2 linked regions of the Arabidopsis thaliana genome follow. The protein of the gene in region 1 interacts with the protein of each later gene in a pairwise test. Each region holds a gene or a part of one and is shown on either strand. Other genes may lie near its edges. The genes, in order: MTACP-1 and AT4G04320.

Region 1 (5,857 bases):
GAGAATGTCTTCGTCTCCATCGATGTTCCTTATCGTCCCGGGCATGCTTCTTACCCTCTTTCCAATATCGCAATTGATACAGAGATTTACTGCATTCCCGGATATAATTTTCCCTCATCATCAATCGTATGGATCTTTGACACCCAATCTGGACAGTGGCGTCAAGGACCTAGTATGCAAGTGGAGCGATTATCAGCTACCGTAGGACTAGTCGGTGGTAAGATCTATGTGATCGGAGGCAACAGAGGCGAAGAGATCCTAGCGGAAGTATTTGACTTAAAGACACAAACTTGGGAAGCAGCGCCGATTCCTAAGGCAAAGGATAGAAACGAATGGTTCACGCATGCAAGTGTTTCACTTGATAGGAAGGTTTATGCTTTAAATTCGAGGGAATACATGAATTCTTACGATACTAGAGATGGTTCTTATCAAAGATATACGATACCTGAAGATAATTGGTGGAAGACAGGAAAATGCGTGATTGACAATGTGCTCTTCGTTTACTTCCTTAGATTTGGGTTAATGTGGTATGACTCTGAGCTGATGTTGTGGAGAGTGGTTTATGGTTTAGATCTTGACAAAGCTCGATGCATTGGGATCGGGGAATACTACGGAAAGTTGGCGTTTATATGGGGAAAACCAAGTAATGTTAGTGAAAGCAAAGAGATTTGGTGTAGAATGATTGGCTTGCTTAGGAGTGAAGTAGGAATTCATGGAACTGAAGAACCGTCTCAACTTCTCAGAATCGTTCCTAACAACTATAGTTTGCGCCATTGTCTGTCTCTTTCGGGTTAAACTTAATCAAGAGATATATTGTTGACGTTAGATGTTTATTTAGTCTTTCTTTAGTCATTATGATCAATATCACTACAATGTGTTTACAAGATTCATTGCTGTTGCGGTTTCAGCATCTTGCTTTGTTCCTTCCACCCTATCCATTTTGCATAATTAGCTTAGCAAGTTTTTAATATTGTAAGTTCACCCATTTTGTCCCATTTACTAAAAAATCGATTCAAACGAAACCTGAAATGTATCTCCTAATTAAAACATCTAACTTGTGGATAGAGATATTGGTGTATTTTGGTACAAATGCTGTAGTTGAGATGAAGCAGAAAACTTGTCCAAATGAAAACTACTGTCTGTATTCGATCCAAAAGATGGCTGACAAACAATTCTAGTTAATAGCACGTTATGATGTAATGTAGTATATAAGATCCAATTTCTTGGTCTTGCATATGTATCCAAGAGAGACGATCAGTTTTTTAAAACAAGTATGTTTTTCAAAGATTCGTCTTCAATGTATGATCAAGACCATGCTAAGAATCAAGTGTATTATATACAAATCGTATTAAAGTATTAACTCAAGAAAAAGTGTCAACTTTCACAAGATTCAAGCAAAAAGGTTTTCTTTTTAAGAAACTGGAACCGTTAAAAGAGTCAATAACAATGCTCTCCAAATAAAAGTGATTTTTTTGCAAATCCCATTATGGCATTATCAAAGAGAGAAGAACCTCATACAAGAAAAAGGAAGGAGAAACCATGAGAGAGCACACAGCGATTAGCTAGACATTGGATGATTGTAAACGTATTCAATGGCGAGAGAGCAAGAATCGATCTTGTCAGCTTCTTTGTCTGGAATTTCCAGCTTGAATTCCTCTTCAATAGCCATCACTATCTCCACTGTGTCCAAACTATCTAATCCCAAATCGTTTTGGAAATGAACCTCAGGAGTCACCTGTCGATATTTATCACAAAGCCATCAACAAAAATAACCCTAACCAAACAACCCTTATTAGAGAGAGTTGATGAAGGATTCATAAATGCAAAATCCATAAGAATGACCATATCAAATCAAATCCATAGGAACAACAACACGATAAGCTACACTTACTAAACCACATTGAGATCAATAACCTTCAATTTACTAACAACACTAATGCAACATCGTTTCAGATACATTTGGTCTCTATTTCCACTAGATCAATACGAAATCAACCAAAAGCTCCTACATTGACAAATATTCAAGGCAAAATAATCATTTTGTTCCCAATAATGAGGAAAACAAAAGATAAGAATCACGATTTGGCCAAATTTTATGAAGATCGAGCTGACCTTAGAGGGATCGACTTTGGGGAAGCTCTTGACAACATCGAGTACTCTATCGACGACAGCTTCTCTGCTAAGATGATCATCGTGCGAAGAAAATGACCGGATCGTACCAAGGAACCCAATTTTAGACTGATTCAATCCTAGGGTTTGCACCGGAACCCTCAGGTGACGAAGAATTGCATTTCTCAGTGCCATTTTCGTCTCTTTCTTCGAGCTCGAGAATTAGGGATTTGATTTGATGAGAGAGACACAGAAGAGTCAAGTAGCCAAAAGGGGCAAAAATAGTTCAGGTCATACGAGATGACACGTGCCCCCTACTATAAGGCTAGCCCAAATCCTTACGTGGGCTTATAAATGCTGCCCATAATGTAGTAAATTCCTTAATCAGCTTCTAAGTTTTTATATATTTTGTAACTTATCTCAAATAGTTTCTAATTTAACATAAATGACCCAATTGGGTCACTCGAGGAATAAACTGCAATTTACGAATAACAAACTCTCACTAATACAGTATTTGCAATTCCAGAGCGACGGGATCTCTCTCCGGTAAATATCGGAAACTTTTATTCTCAGCAAAGCGAGATCTCGACGTTTCTCAGATCCGTCCGGCGAGTTAGATCCTTGAGAAATCATGGCTCCGGTCTCGGCACTCGCTAAGTATAAGCTGGTGTTTCTGGGAGATCAATCCGTCGGCAAAACCAGTATCATTACTCGATTCATGTACGACAAATTCGACAACACTTACCAGGTAAATTTCCATTGTTCAAATCTAGGTATTATCTCGACGATGCACGACGTTTGCTTCTATTTTGAGGGATTATAGTCGGGAAAATCCCAGGGTTTGATTGATTTTGAGATCCGTTTTCATGGACGGGAATCGTGTTTTTCAGTTCGAAGTTCTTACTCGTTTACGTGATCGGGCGTTTGGTTTTGCGTAATTATGTGTGATCTGATTTGTAGATCGTGTTTTAGTCAATGTATAGGACGTAACAATCAGCTGAATGAGATTTTGGCATCGTAATCGCTCACTCTCGTTTATTGTACAAAGTCGAGAATTCAGTCCAATAGAAGATCGCAGTAACACTAATATGAGGATGTTTCTTTGATCATGTTATCATTGTTTATCTAATCGAATTAGTTCTCAATTGATGAATGAAAGCATCTGATCTTGTTCTGTGATTATGAGAATTACGTTTAAGCTCCTAATAATATGTGAACCATGCTTGCTTATCGTCATTTTACAGAATGTTCTTCCTTTTCTAAGTAGTTTTTATGTTGTTTCATAATCATCAGGCCACAATTGGTATTGATTTTCTATCAAAGACAATGTACCTTGAAGATCGAACGGTCAGACTTCAGTTGTGGTAAGATCTTGAGCCTCTTTCAATTTTCGAATACTGAAGAATAACATTGCAGATCATTTTTTGATGATTAACATCGAGAGCCGAAATCATATGACAGGGATACAGCTGGGCAAGAGCGATTCAGGAGTCTAATTCCGAGCTATATCAGGGATTCCTCCGTTGCTGTTATTGTGTATGATGTTGCAAGTATGTGTACCTTCACTCGTTCTCTCAAACACATGAATATTTTCCCATATCTGAGATCTTGGGGATGTGGTTTTCAGTAATCTTATGAATTTATGCGTTTCGATTTCTTCTTTATGTTGATCCATTGTGCGTTGTGAAACTCGAGATTTATTTTGTTTTCCACTGACATATAGGCAGGCAGTCCTTCCTAAACACTACTAAGTGGATCGATGAGGTTAGGACAGAACGTGGTAGTGATGTCATAGTCGTGCTTGTGGGAAACAAAACTGATCTAGTGGACAAAAGGTAATAATGATCTACCATCTCTTCCTCTACTTGTTTCTTGTTAAACCATGATGTGCAAATTACTGTTCAATAGCAATTGAGACTGAAATTTGGTAGTCCTCCTTGTTTAAACACGCTCTGATTTCGTAAGTATGTTGACAAGACGAATGGGTGTCTTTTTTGTTTTACTCAAGTACAAACTGTTGTTAAACCACGTCTTACTTTTCTGGTGGTATTGAGTATGTTGCCAAACGACCCTACAAGATAATAAATGGAAAATCATTTGCTGCTCAACTGCATATCTTTACAGGGTTTCTTTATAGTCAACACGCTTTGACACTTGATGGTGCCTACTACATTTGTTACTGCCAATTGGGCCTTTGTATTAAATATTTTGTTTCTCAGGCAAGTGTCAATAGAGGAAGCAGAAGCTAAGGCACGCGAACTTAATGTAATGTTCATCGAAACCAGTGCCAAAGCGGGCTTCAACATTAAGGTAACAAAGATCTTGGCTTGACACATTTCTGAGGGTTTCTTGCACAACAAAAACTTGCTGCTTAGTTCAACTAAGCCCTAACTTTGTTTAGTTCCATCAATATTCAATAGTTAATTAACCTAGACTTATAAATTTTTAACCCAACCTGCTGATTATTACATCCTCCTCATTTGTATGGATCTTTCACTGATACTCTCTAAACAATTACCGCAAATCCATAACGCTATCACTCCGTGCAAATCTTGTTTTCTTATGATTTCAAACCTTTTTGTATTGCTAGGCGCTCTTCCGCAAGATAGCAGCAGCTTTGCCGGGAATGGAGACATTGTCTTCAACAAAGCAAGAGGATATGGTTGATGTCAATCTCAAGTCTTCCAATGCAAATGCATCTCTCGCTCAGCAGCAATCAGGAGGATGCTCTTGTTAGATTTGGCAACAACAACACAACAACAAATCGATAGAGAACAACAAAACACACTACTAAAAAATGTCCTCAAGCCCCTTTGCATGATTCGATCAGTTATCGTCTTCCATCTGTAAAATTTTTGCCTGTTTTTCAACTTTTTTTCTTCATCGGATTGTTTTTAAAGAAGACTCTGTTTTAGCTATGGTTTGTCCCTAACTGTGATCTTTTGTGGTCTTTGGAGTTTCAAATGCTCGCTGCTTCAGTACTTTTGTTTACTTATTTCTCAAAACTGTGATTTGTCGGTCTATGAATTTAATTATGTATAACTGTGAGCTGCTAGGTAATAAAAACTCTCATTTCGTTTCGTCTTTCCATGTGATAGTCTGATAGAGAAAGAAGCACAGCATTTTTAATCTTTGACCCATAAAGAAACAGATAATTAATTTCGTACACATGTCGTTAGTTCAGATCACTTAAATGAGCTAATTAAATTCAAAGTCTCACACTGTTCCCAGGTATTTTTCTCCAGTTCCACCATGTCCCTAAAATTAAGCTTCTCTCATCGTAAAAAGCTCTGGTGGGTTAATGCAGTTGGAGTATACTCAGCAATTCTATCCCAAATAATGTGTATACTCACTTAATCAGCAATAATCACTCGTAACGATTTTATGGAACTAAGTTAGTGGAATGAGTTTTTTTGTAATTACTTATTATGAATTTATGACATATCCTTTTGAAAAAGAAAAAAAAAAACAGAAACTTGTACGATTGTTTTTCTTTCATTGCAGCTGAAAAGTATTGTCATATTTTTGAATAGTCCAACCAAGCTATTTGAAAATTTTAATGACACTATATTTCATAATTATATTGTCATCAATCAAATCCTCATACATAGTACCAACTAATAGCTAAAAATTACATAACACTTGTGCTTTATTTGAATTTTCCCACTAACTCATCAAACGCATAATTCGCAATAATGACCATAATTAAAGATAGACCCCTTCAAAAAAAAAAAAAAAAGAATGAGTA
Region 2 (8,006 bases), on another chromosome or scaffold:
AATAAGTATGATCTATATATTAATTAATGACAGAGTTATAATCCTGAGGCTTATATGGAGTTGAGAGAATTTTTAGATACAAACTCTGTAAGTGACGGTGATAAATTCTGCGCCACTCTCATGCGTCGCTCTTCACGTCACATGAACTTAGGTACCAAAAATAACACCTTTATATCAATAATTTGGTTATAAAATTCTAGTATGCGTTTTCTTTTTGTGAAACTTGTTAGTTGGAATTTTAATTCTAGGTTCTTAAAGTTATACATTATACTTTTTTAACAAATTTGGTTTTCTTCTAGTAATTTAGACGAAATCTCTTTACTTTTTCCAAACATTCTTTTCGTACATTGGAAGTTGAAACTTCTCACTAAAATAACTAGTTATGGGAGTTCGGTTTATATATTCGGTTTCAGTTATATCCATTCGCTTATCGTTTTTTTTTTTGTTTTAAAGTTTAGTATCCCTTCGGTTAATTTGAAAGTTCGGTTCGGTTTCGATTATTTCGGTTTTAAAATTTAGTATCCATCCGGTTATTTTGCTTTAAATATTTTTGGATATTTCGGTTATTTTCGGATATTTTTGGATATTTTCGGATATTTTGAGATATTTTTTTTATTATTTTTGAATATTTTTACTATTTTATATATATTCTCAAGTATTTTTAATTATCTAGTCTAGAAATAACTAATACTTTTGTAAATATATATTTATATTTTAGATATTTTTGGTTACTCAAAATATTTCGGTTGGTATCCATTCGGTTTCAGTTATTTCGATTATAAAATTTTGTATCCATTCAATTAGTTTCTGGTTATCGGTTCTGTTTACTTCGGTTTTGGTTTGGTACATCTGGTTCGGGTAATTTGCTCAGGCACAAAACTAACAGTATAACACAACTAATCTGTGCAATTCTTGTAAAGAAAAACTACTTCAAAAATTGCGTGACGAAATACAATTCCACCAATTTGCGGATTACTAACGAAATCACTTTGTAGATCCATAAGTTTCGTATATCTTTTAGGTATACATATACTTGATATGAGATAAGTAAACTAAAAACTTTGCTTTTTTTTTTTGGTATCATGGCCAATGCAACAAGCCCTTCGAATTTTAGAGGTAAGCTAAGCTTTTCTTTTCTCCTTTAATACATTTTCGAAAACACTTCTACATCTTTTCTCATCTCTACGTTTGTATTTACGGTTTGAAACCGTTTGTTACCGCTTAGGTACGGTCTGCTTATTGTAAAAACGATTTCGAATGGGATAATATGAAGCGCCTCGCCTTCAAGGTTCACTTCTATCTATCTCTCTCTCTCGTTGTACATATATGAATGCAAGTACGTAATGAAGCATCTTGTGTTTTTGAAAATGCAGAACGTAGATGATTCCAACACAAGACTCATGCGCGAGTACGTCTTGGAGACTAGCCATGTCGAAACCGATTCTGATAAGTGAAACCGAATATCTCTTCGAATCACATTCATATATATAGAGTCTTGAGAGTATACACACTTGAAACCGTTTGTACATACATATACATACCATTGTGCTATGTTACTCCCAGGTTTTGATACCTTAGTTTTTTTTACCTGCAAATCGATCAAAACCCGATTTTCTTTGCGGAGTTACCTAGAGACGGGAATGGATACCGGGAGAGGCATGGATTTTGCCCGACCCAAAATACGATTGAGCATAGTCTTCGATATTCTCTAACCTGTCATGAATCGAATAAGATGGGTTTAGGACCAACAAAAATGAAAGCTTCGTAGCTGAATAATTTAAAGTACAAAGTTTACTTTACCTATAGACATAGTTTACCATAATGCCTCCACTTTGACGAATACCTTTCTCTGATCGATCCGCCATCCAATTTATTCTTTCAACCATCTATGTAACGTATCAAAACATGAAAGCTTATCAATCTCAATCACTCTATTAACTAAAACCTATCGTCATTCACTGGACTTACCGCTCCATTTTGCAAGTGGAAGTTAGCAACAGAGTCTAAAGCTTTTCCTCTCTTCTTCTCTTGCAAGAGGTACCTATCAAAATCAAGAAAGACCATTGAAAGTTATGCCTATATGATTCATATATAACCATTACATCTCCTCCAAGAATGAACATACCTAGCACATAACCGCATAAGAATAGGTTCTAAAACTGGTAATAGGCGAGGCGAAGTAGCCCAATCGCAGTTCTTTACTGATAGCAAATTCAACAGAACTTCCATACCGTTGCTACCGGATGAAGATTCACTGCATAAAAAGATCACTGAGTTGATGACTTGAACTTGATTTTCTATATAACAGATAAGAACATAAGGGCATGAAGAAAATCTTACTCTGATAGAGTCATGAGGGCATGTTCCTCTTCTGGTAGTAATACTTTCTCACTAAACGTAGATGAAGGCGAATTGCTCTGTGTACCACGCTCATCTTCAGCAAATCTTGACTGAGATGATAACTTCGAGAGGAGCCATTGCATGAATCCAGGAATGGGGCTAAGTGTTGCAAATGTCTGCAACAAAAAGAACAGTTTTGTTGAGCAAGCAGATACAAACTTTTAGACCTGTAACAAGATTTGCATACAAATTAGTCAAAGTACTCACAGAAACATGTGGCATGTCTTTTTTCACCAACGTAATCACTCGTTTGATCAGAAATTTTCCGAGGTTTATCCCAGCTAAGCCAGGCTGCAAATACATAAGACAGAAGTCATAAAGCCATAGCTTTCATCAGAACCACGAAATGAATAGAAAATGTGAAAATCAACGAGAACAAATGTAAGAACTACAGATATGAAGGAAGAGTGTGCACATACCTGAGTTGAAGAAATAGAGTAAAATAAAGCGCATGTTGCTTGGTTCTCTGGTATGGGAGGATTGTCCCACAAAACTTCCTGCAACGCCAATGAATTTTTTAGACACATAGCTATAGAATCTAAACTATACCGAATAGTATCAAGATTAGTTTGACCTGAATTGTCTGAGCAACAGTCTCCATAAGAGCAACTTCTATAAAAATAAGTGGCTCACCTGAGAGTAACGACATAGAATGATCAAAGAATGTGGTCAACTTACAATCAAAGAGACATGAGTCCAGAGAAAGTAACTAACCAGGAACAGATGGATGAAAATATCCAAAGCATCGACGGCCTATTCCCAATCTTCTTTTAAGATCCAAGAGGTTGCTGATTGGATGCACCGCCTTATAAATAATGCGTTATTAGACAAAACTTTTAACATTCTGAAATAGCTGAGATTACTATAATGGAGACTAGTACTGCATACCTCATATGCAACAATTTTCTCAAGCAATGAAGCAGGATCATCCCAAGTAATTTGATGAAGCTCTAAAGTGGCAGGACTAAGCCACATACCGAGTTTCTCCTTCAGAAAAGAATCTAATGTTCGCAAAGACGGCGTGTTCTCTTTTCTATACATTAGAAACAACCATCAGTGTCAGATACAACCGGAAATGTTTTACCAACTGATTCGAAACTATCTTCAAATATTTGAGTTTCCAGTCACATAACAAGAGGACAAGAAACATTACGAGAGTATCGACAGAAGATCAGCTCGGAGGATGGACAAAAATCTCAACCCTCCAGGATGTGTATTCAACCTCTCAAATAAAACTTCATATGTTGGCCTAAGAGCATGCCTCAGATTCCTCTCAATGCGATAGAAAACAGAAGATAAAGCCCCCTTATCATCATCACCTAAAGAAAAGTACTCGCCCATCAATGGAGAATGTAACGAAGAATCACACAAGAAAAAACAAGAATGGCACAAGAATGACTCTCACTAGCTGGAGTTTCAAGTCCAAGATATTGCTTAACAAGTTCTCGGACTTGCTCTCGGTTAACATCATACTCCTTGGCTAAAACAAGCAGTAACTTCTCGCGGTCTTCAAGCGAAAGGCTAAAGTAACCCTATAAGCATTTTTAACCATATATGTAATCAGATTGAAAAGGTTAAACACATCAAAGATCAGAATCAAGAAACAACAATGTGAAGATAGTTTTACCTCTTGAAAATCATTAAGAGTAATGTCTAATACACCAGTTTTACTAGCTGAGATAGCTGAGTGCATTGTCTCTCGAACAACATCATAAACCCTAAAACAAAAACCAAACTCACTACTGCAAAGATCAATGGTGCTAAATCAATATCTACAATGAGAAATTACCTTCCAGTGGTACCAAAATCATTAGAATTTTGCACAATGTGATCTCTAGAATGATTCTCTTGAGGATTAGATTGAATTTCCTTCTGACAACAAAGTCAACAAACCATTATTATAGAGTCAAATTAGCCTTATTATATTCTTATCTTCTTAAAAACATTCAAGCTCCGATTAAAGCCATAGCCAATTTCTCACTCTCTCTCTCTCTTTTTCATCAAAAGATGTAAACTTTTCATTGCCCATGATTACAAATTGTGTGAATTTGGACAGAATCGCAAAATTATCCAAAAAATTCAAACAGAGAAAAAGAAAAGCTTACAGGAAATTGAGAGAGGGAAAATTTGGAGGGATTGTTGGATCTCATTCTAGCACGCAACAGAATCGCTAGATTTTTCTTGCTCATATCTGTTTCATTATGATCATCATCATCACGGTTAAAATTTCATCGGAGAAAAAAAGGAACTCAGGAAGAAGAAAAAAGCGATTTCGCAATCAGACATGACAGGAACCTTAAAATCTGGCCGTTCAAGTATCGGAAAAAAAAATCGAGACTTTGTATTCCCTTTTCAACGGATAGCGTAAAGGCACTGGCTTTTAAAACGGCGTCGGTTTTACTTTACCTGTCGCTTCACTTGCCACAAAAATTTGAATAAATGGCAGGAATGTCACTTTCTCCAAAATAATAATCACGAATGCCACTTATTCTTTATAATTTTATTTTTTTTTATAATTAAAACTGATGTAAATATCCAAATAACTTTTTAAAAAATTAAAATATACAGATCCAACTAAAATAATCCGACCCAAGTACAATAAAATAATTAACTTGGCCCAAATAATACTATATTTTTAATATGTAAAGTAACAGTTTTATCCAAATTTAAAAGCATTATTCTTAATAAATAAAAACAGGATTCATATTTAGAAGAAAAAAATTAAAATTAAATAAATTTTGAAATATAAGTAATAGATTTTTTTTTAAAAATCTCTATTGATAAATTCGAAATGTATGTATTATTCGAAATATGTTTTAGTTGTTGATAACATTTTTAATTATTTTTGAAATAAATATAGTTTATTTATCTATTTATATTAAAATTTAACAATTTAATATCTAAATATATTTTAAAGTTTATCACTTAATAAATATAGTTTATATATATTATTTTAAAGTTTATCACTTAATACATATAGTTTGAAATAAATATAGTTTTGAAATAAATATAGTTTATATATATTATTTTGGACAAAATTTTGTTTAAAATATTTAAGATAAGAATTATCTTTTAAATTATAGTTAAATCAAATATTAACTTATGGATTTTTTCTGTTTAAAGTTTTAATTATATTAAATTATAATGAGGTTATTTTATTAATTTTATATATAAAGTAGGATATAGTATTTTTCAAATAAAAACTCATAAAAAAGGCATTTTCCAAATTTACTCATATCATACGCCCGAAAAATCGATTGGAACTTATTCAATTGAACAATTTGAACTATATAAGTTGAACTCGTTCGATTGAACCAGATGAACTAGATCAGTTGAACTATTTGAACTAGATCAGTTGAACCATTTGAACTAGATCAATTGAACCAATTTCAGTTATACCATTTTATTATGCAACAATGGATTGGTTTGGGGAGCAACGCGATTCAGTTACTACATTGTACTGACTACCATTGCAAATATCTAAACAGCCATTTTTGTTTCGTTCATTCACTTTCTTCAATCGAGATCTATAGACAGAGTAGAACAAACAAAGCGCTTGTAAAGAAAAGAAGACGTTGCGACGGAAGAAAAAGCGACCGATGAAATATATGAGTCGACCGGAGATGGTATCTCTAAAGGAGGAACGTTTCCAGAGTGGACAAAGTAAATATCGAGATATCGATCTAGATTTCGATCCAACAATATCGATGGAGGAAGACACATCACCTGAGAATCGACGGCTGCCGAAATGGATGAGCCGACCAGAGATGGTTTTTCCCGAGTCGACAGAGCCAATTGAATTTATACACCAAAAAATGGTTAAAAAAAAAAAAAAACTGGTTTCCATCAACCAGAGAAAAGCGTCGTAAGAGGAAGAACAAGACTATGCCTGGGATACACTTGAACAATTTGTTGCACATGAAAAAATTAATTCATGTATTTTGAATTTGTATTTCTCGGATTTGTATGAACAATTCAACTAGTTCAACTTATTGGATTAGATTAAAAACATATATGTATTTGTGTTCGTGGTACTTTTTAATTTATTTAGTTGAGCTAGTTCAAATGTCTTTCTTTGGTTTTCGTGGTAACATTTAATATAATTAGTTCAACTAGTTCAACTAAATAACGTTAAAATGATTAAATTTGTAAAATTGATAATTTATTATACATGTAAAATTATATACGAATATCCCAAATTATAAATAAATAATTTTAGATCAATGCAATAAAATTTAATATTTTCTAAAATCCAATTTTGTTTTCATATAAAACACCCCTTCTAATATAAGAAACATTTAGTCTATGAGCACCTTATATGAAGTAAAATAGGTAAAAAACCAAGTTTTCACCGATGTCATATTATGAAAACTTTGGAAATACAAAATAATAGAGAAAAAGTGTGCGTTCAACTTATAATTAATTATTTACCTTCTAATTCAACTGTAAATTATGAAAATTGTGGAAAGTTCAACTATGAATACGATGGTACAACGGTATAACTACGAGTATCTTCTACCGCAAAAAGATAAAATATTTTTTAGTGGGGTCCATATGTTGAGTAAATACAGTCACTAAATTAAATCCAACGTTTTTGTAGGGTTTATATATAGAATATTTATGTTTTTCTTATTTTTATTTTATTTTTGAAATTAAATAAAAAATTATTCATTAAGGGTAAAATAGGAATAACACATATAAAGTGGCATACAGATCAAAAAGTGGCATGCCGGATTCAAATTTCTGGTTCAGTGACATTCTTGACTGGGACTCCAAAAATATATTATGAGGATAATTCCAATAAGGTTTCTCCACATCTATAATTGAGAATAGGACTGGGCACATTACCCATACCCGATCCCCGAACCCGAACCCGACCCGAATTAAGGGGTTCAGTACGGGTATGGATTCTATTAATAACCCGATCGGTTTATAGATTTCATGTCTTTGGTTACCCGTACCCAATCGGTTATTACCCGATAATCGAACCCCATCCGAACTAACCCGAACATATATAAGCATTTCTGAGACTTAGAACCCTAATTCACTTTCCTTTCTTCGATTTCTCCACTACTCAGCGGCGATCTCCGAAATTTGCGAGCCATGATTCACAAATCCTATATATATATATATACCCCCACTAAGCAAACTAGAAACCCTTATTAGCAATTTTGCAGCGTCTCCTCCATCAGAGAACTCGAAGTATCATTCACAGGTACTAAAGTCTTCCTCTTCTTCGTAATTTTTTCATTATCTTTGTATGATCATTAGTTGTATGATATTCTGTATTTTGTAATGTTTGTTGCTAGTTGTCGATTTTCTGTATAATGTTTATTGACCTTGAAATAAGGCTAATGGTATTTTGACATAGTATATGGCTTCATGTGGAGTTTGATGCTACTTGGTAGATGTCGTGTTTCTTGAAACTAGTTGGTGGCTTCTTCTTTACTCTTTCGTAACTAGTTAATGTTGCTATGTTTGTCTGATATTTAAAAATTTATGTTTCTATGTTTGTTATTTTGTTAGATTTCGTCTTTCTATGTTAATGACTTCTTTTTAGTCTCTGTAATTGTTTATATGCTTGCCTTTGTTACACATAGTTTGTC

Evidence for each region.
Region 2: the proteins of MTACP-1 (region 1) and AT4G04320 interact in a two-hybrid assay, tested with the Arabidopsis thaliana proteins (one large-scale study listed by BioGRID).

What each region holds. Positions count from the first base shown.
Region 1 is NC_003071.7:18,410,767-18,416,623, reverse strand, and holds MTACP-1 (mitochondrial acyl carrier protein 1), read right to left. Parts: upstream 2,424-5,857; 5' UTR 2,305-2,423; coding exon 2,113-2,304; intron 1,736-2,112; coding exon 1,559-1,735; 3' UTR 1,289-1,558; downstream 1-1,288. Other genes in the region: AT2G44630 (Galactose oxidase/kelch repeat superfamily protein), read left to right, coding at 1-795; RAB6A (Ras-related small GTP-binding family protein), read left to right, coding at 2,741-2,857, 3,403-3,473, 3,571-3,659, 3,833-3,944, 4,329-4,419, 4,700-4,846. UniProt on the Arabidopsis thaliana protein: Carrier of the growing fatty acid chain in fatty acid biosynthesis. May be involved in the synthesis of short and medium chain fatty acids.
Region 2 is NC_003075.7:2,110,148-2,118,153, reverse strand, and holds AT4G04320 (malonyl-CoA decarboxylase family protein), read right to left. Parts: upstream 4,814-8,006; 5' UTR 4,590-4,813; coding exon 4,506-4,589; intron 4,273-4,505; coding exon 4,190-4,272; intron 4,119-4,189; coding exon 4,028-4,118; intron 3,933-4,027; coding exon 3,806-3,932; intron 3,720-3,805; coding exon 3,554-3,719; intron 3,434-3,553; coding exon 3,289-3,433; intron 3,206-3,288; coding exon 3,115-3,205; intron 3,034-3,114; coding exon 2,975-3,033; intron 2,898-2,974; coding exon 2,820-2,897; intron 2,692-2,819; coding exon 2,608-2,691; intron 2,517-2,607; coding exon 2,341-2,516; intron 2,255-2,340; coding exon 2,126-2,254; intron 2,042-2,125; coding exon 1,969-2,041; intron 1,887-1,968; coding exon 1,801-1,886; intron 1,714-1,800; coding exon 1,629-1,713; 3' UTR 1,461-1,628; downstream 1-1,460. Other genes in the region: RbcX1 (Chaperonin-like RbcX protein), read left to right, coding at 34-151, 1,100-1,116, 1,226-1,288, 1,374-1,454.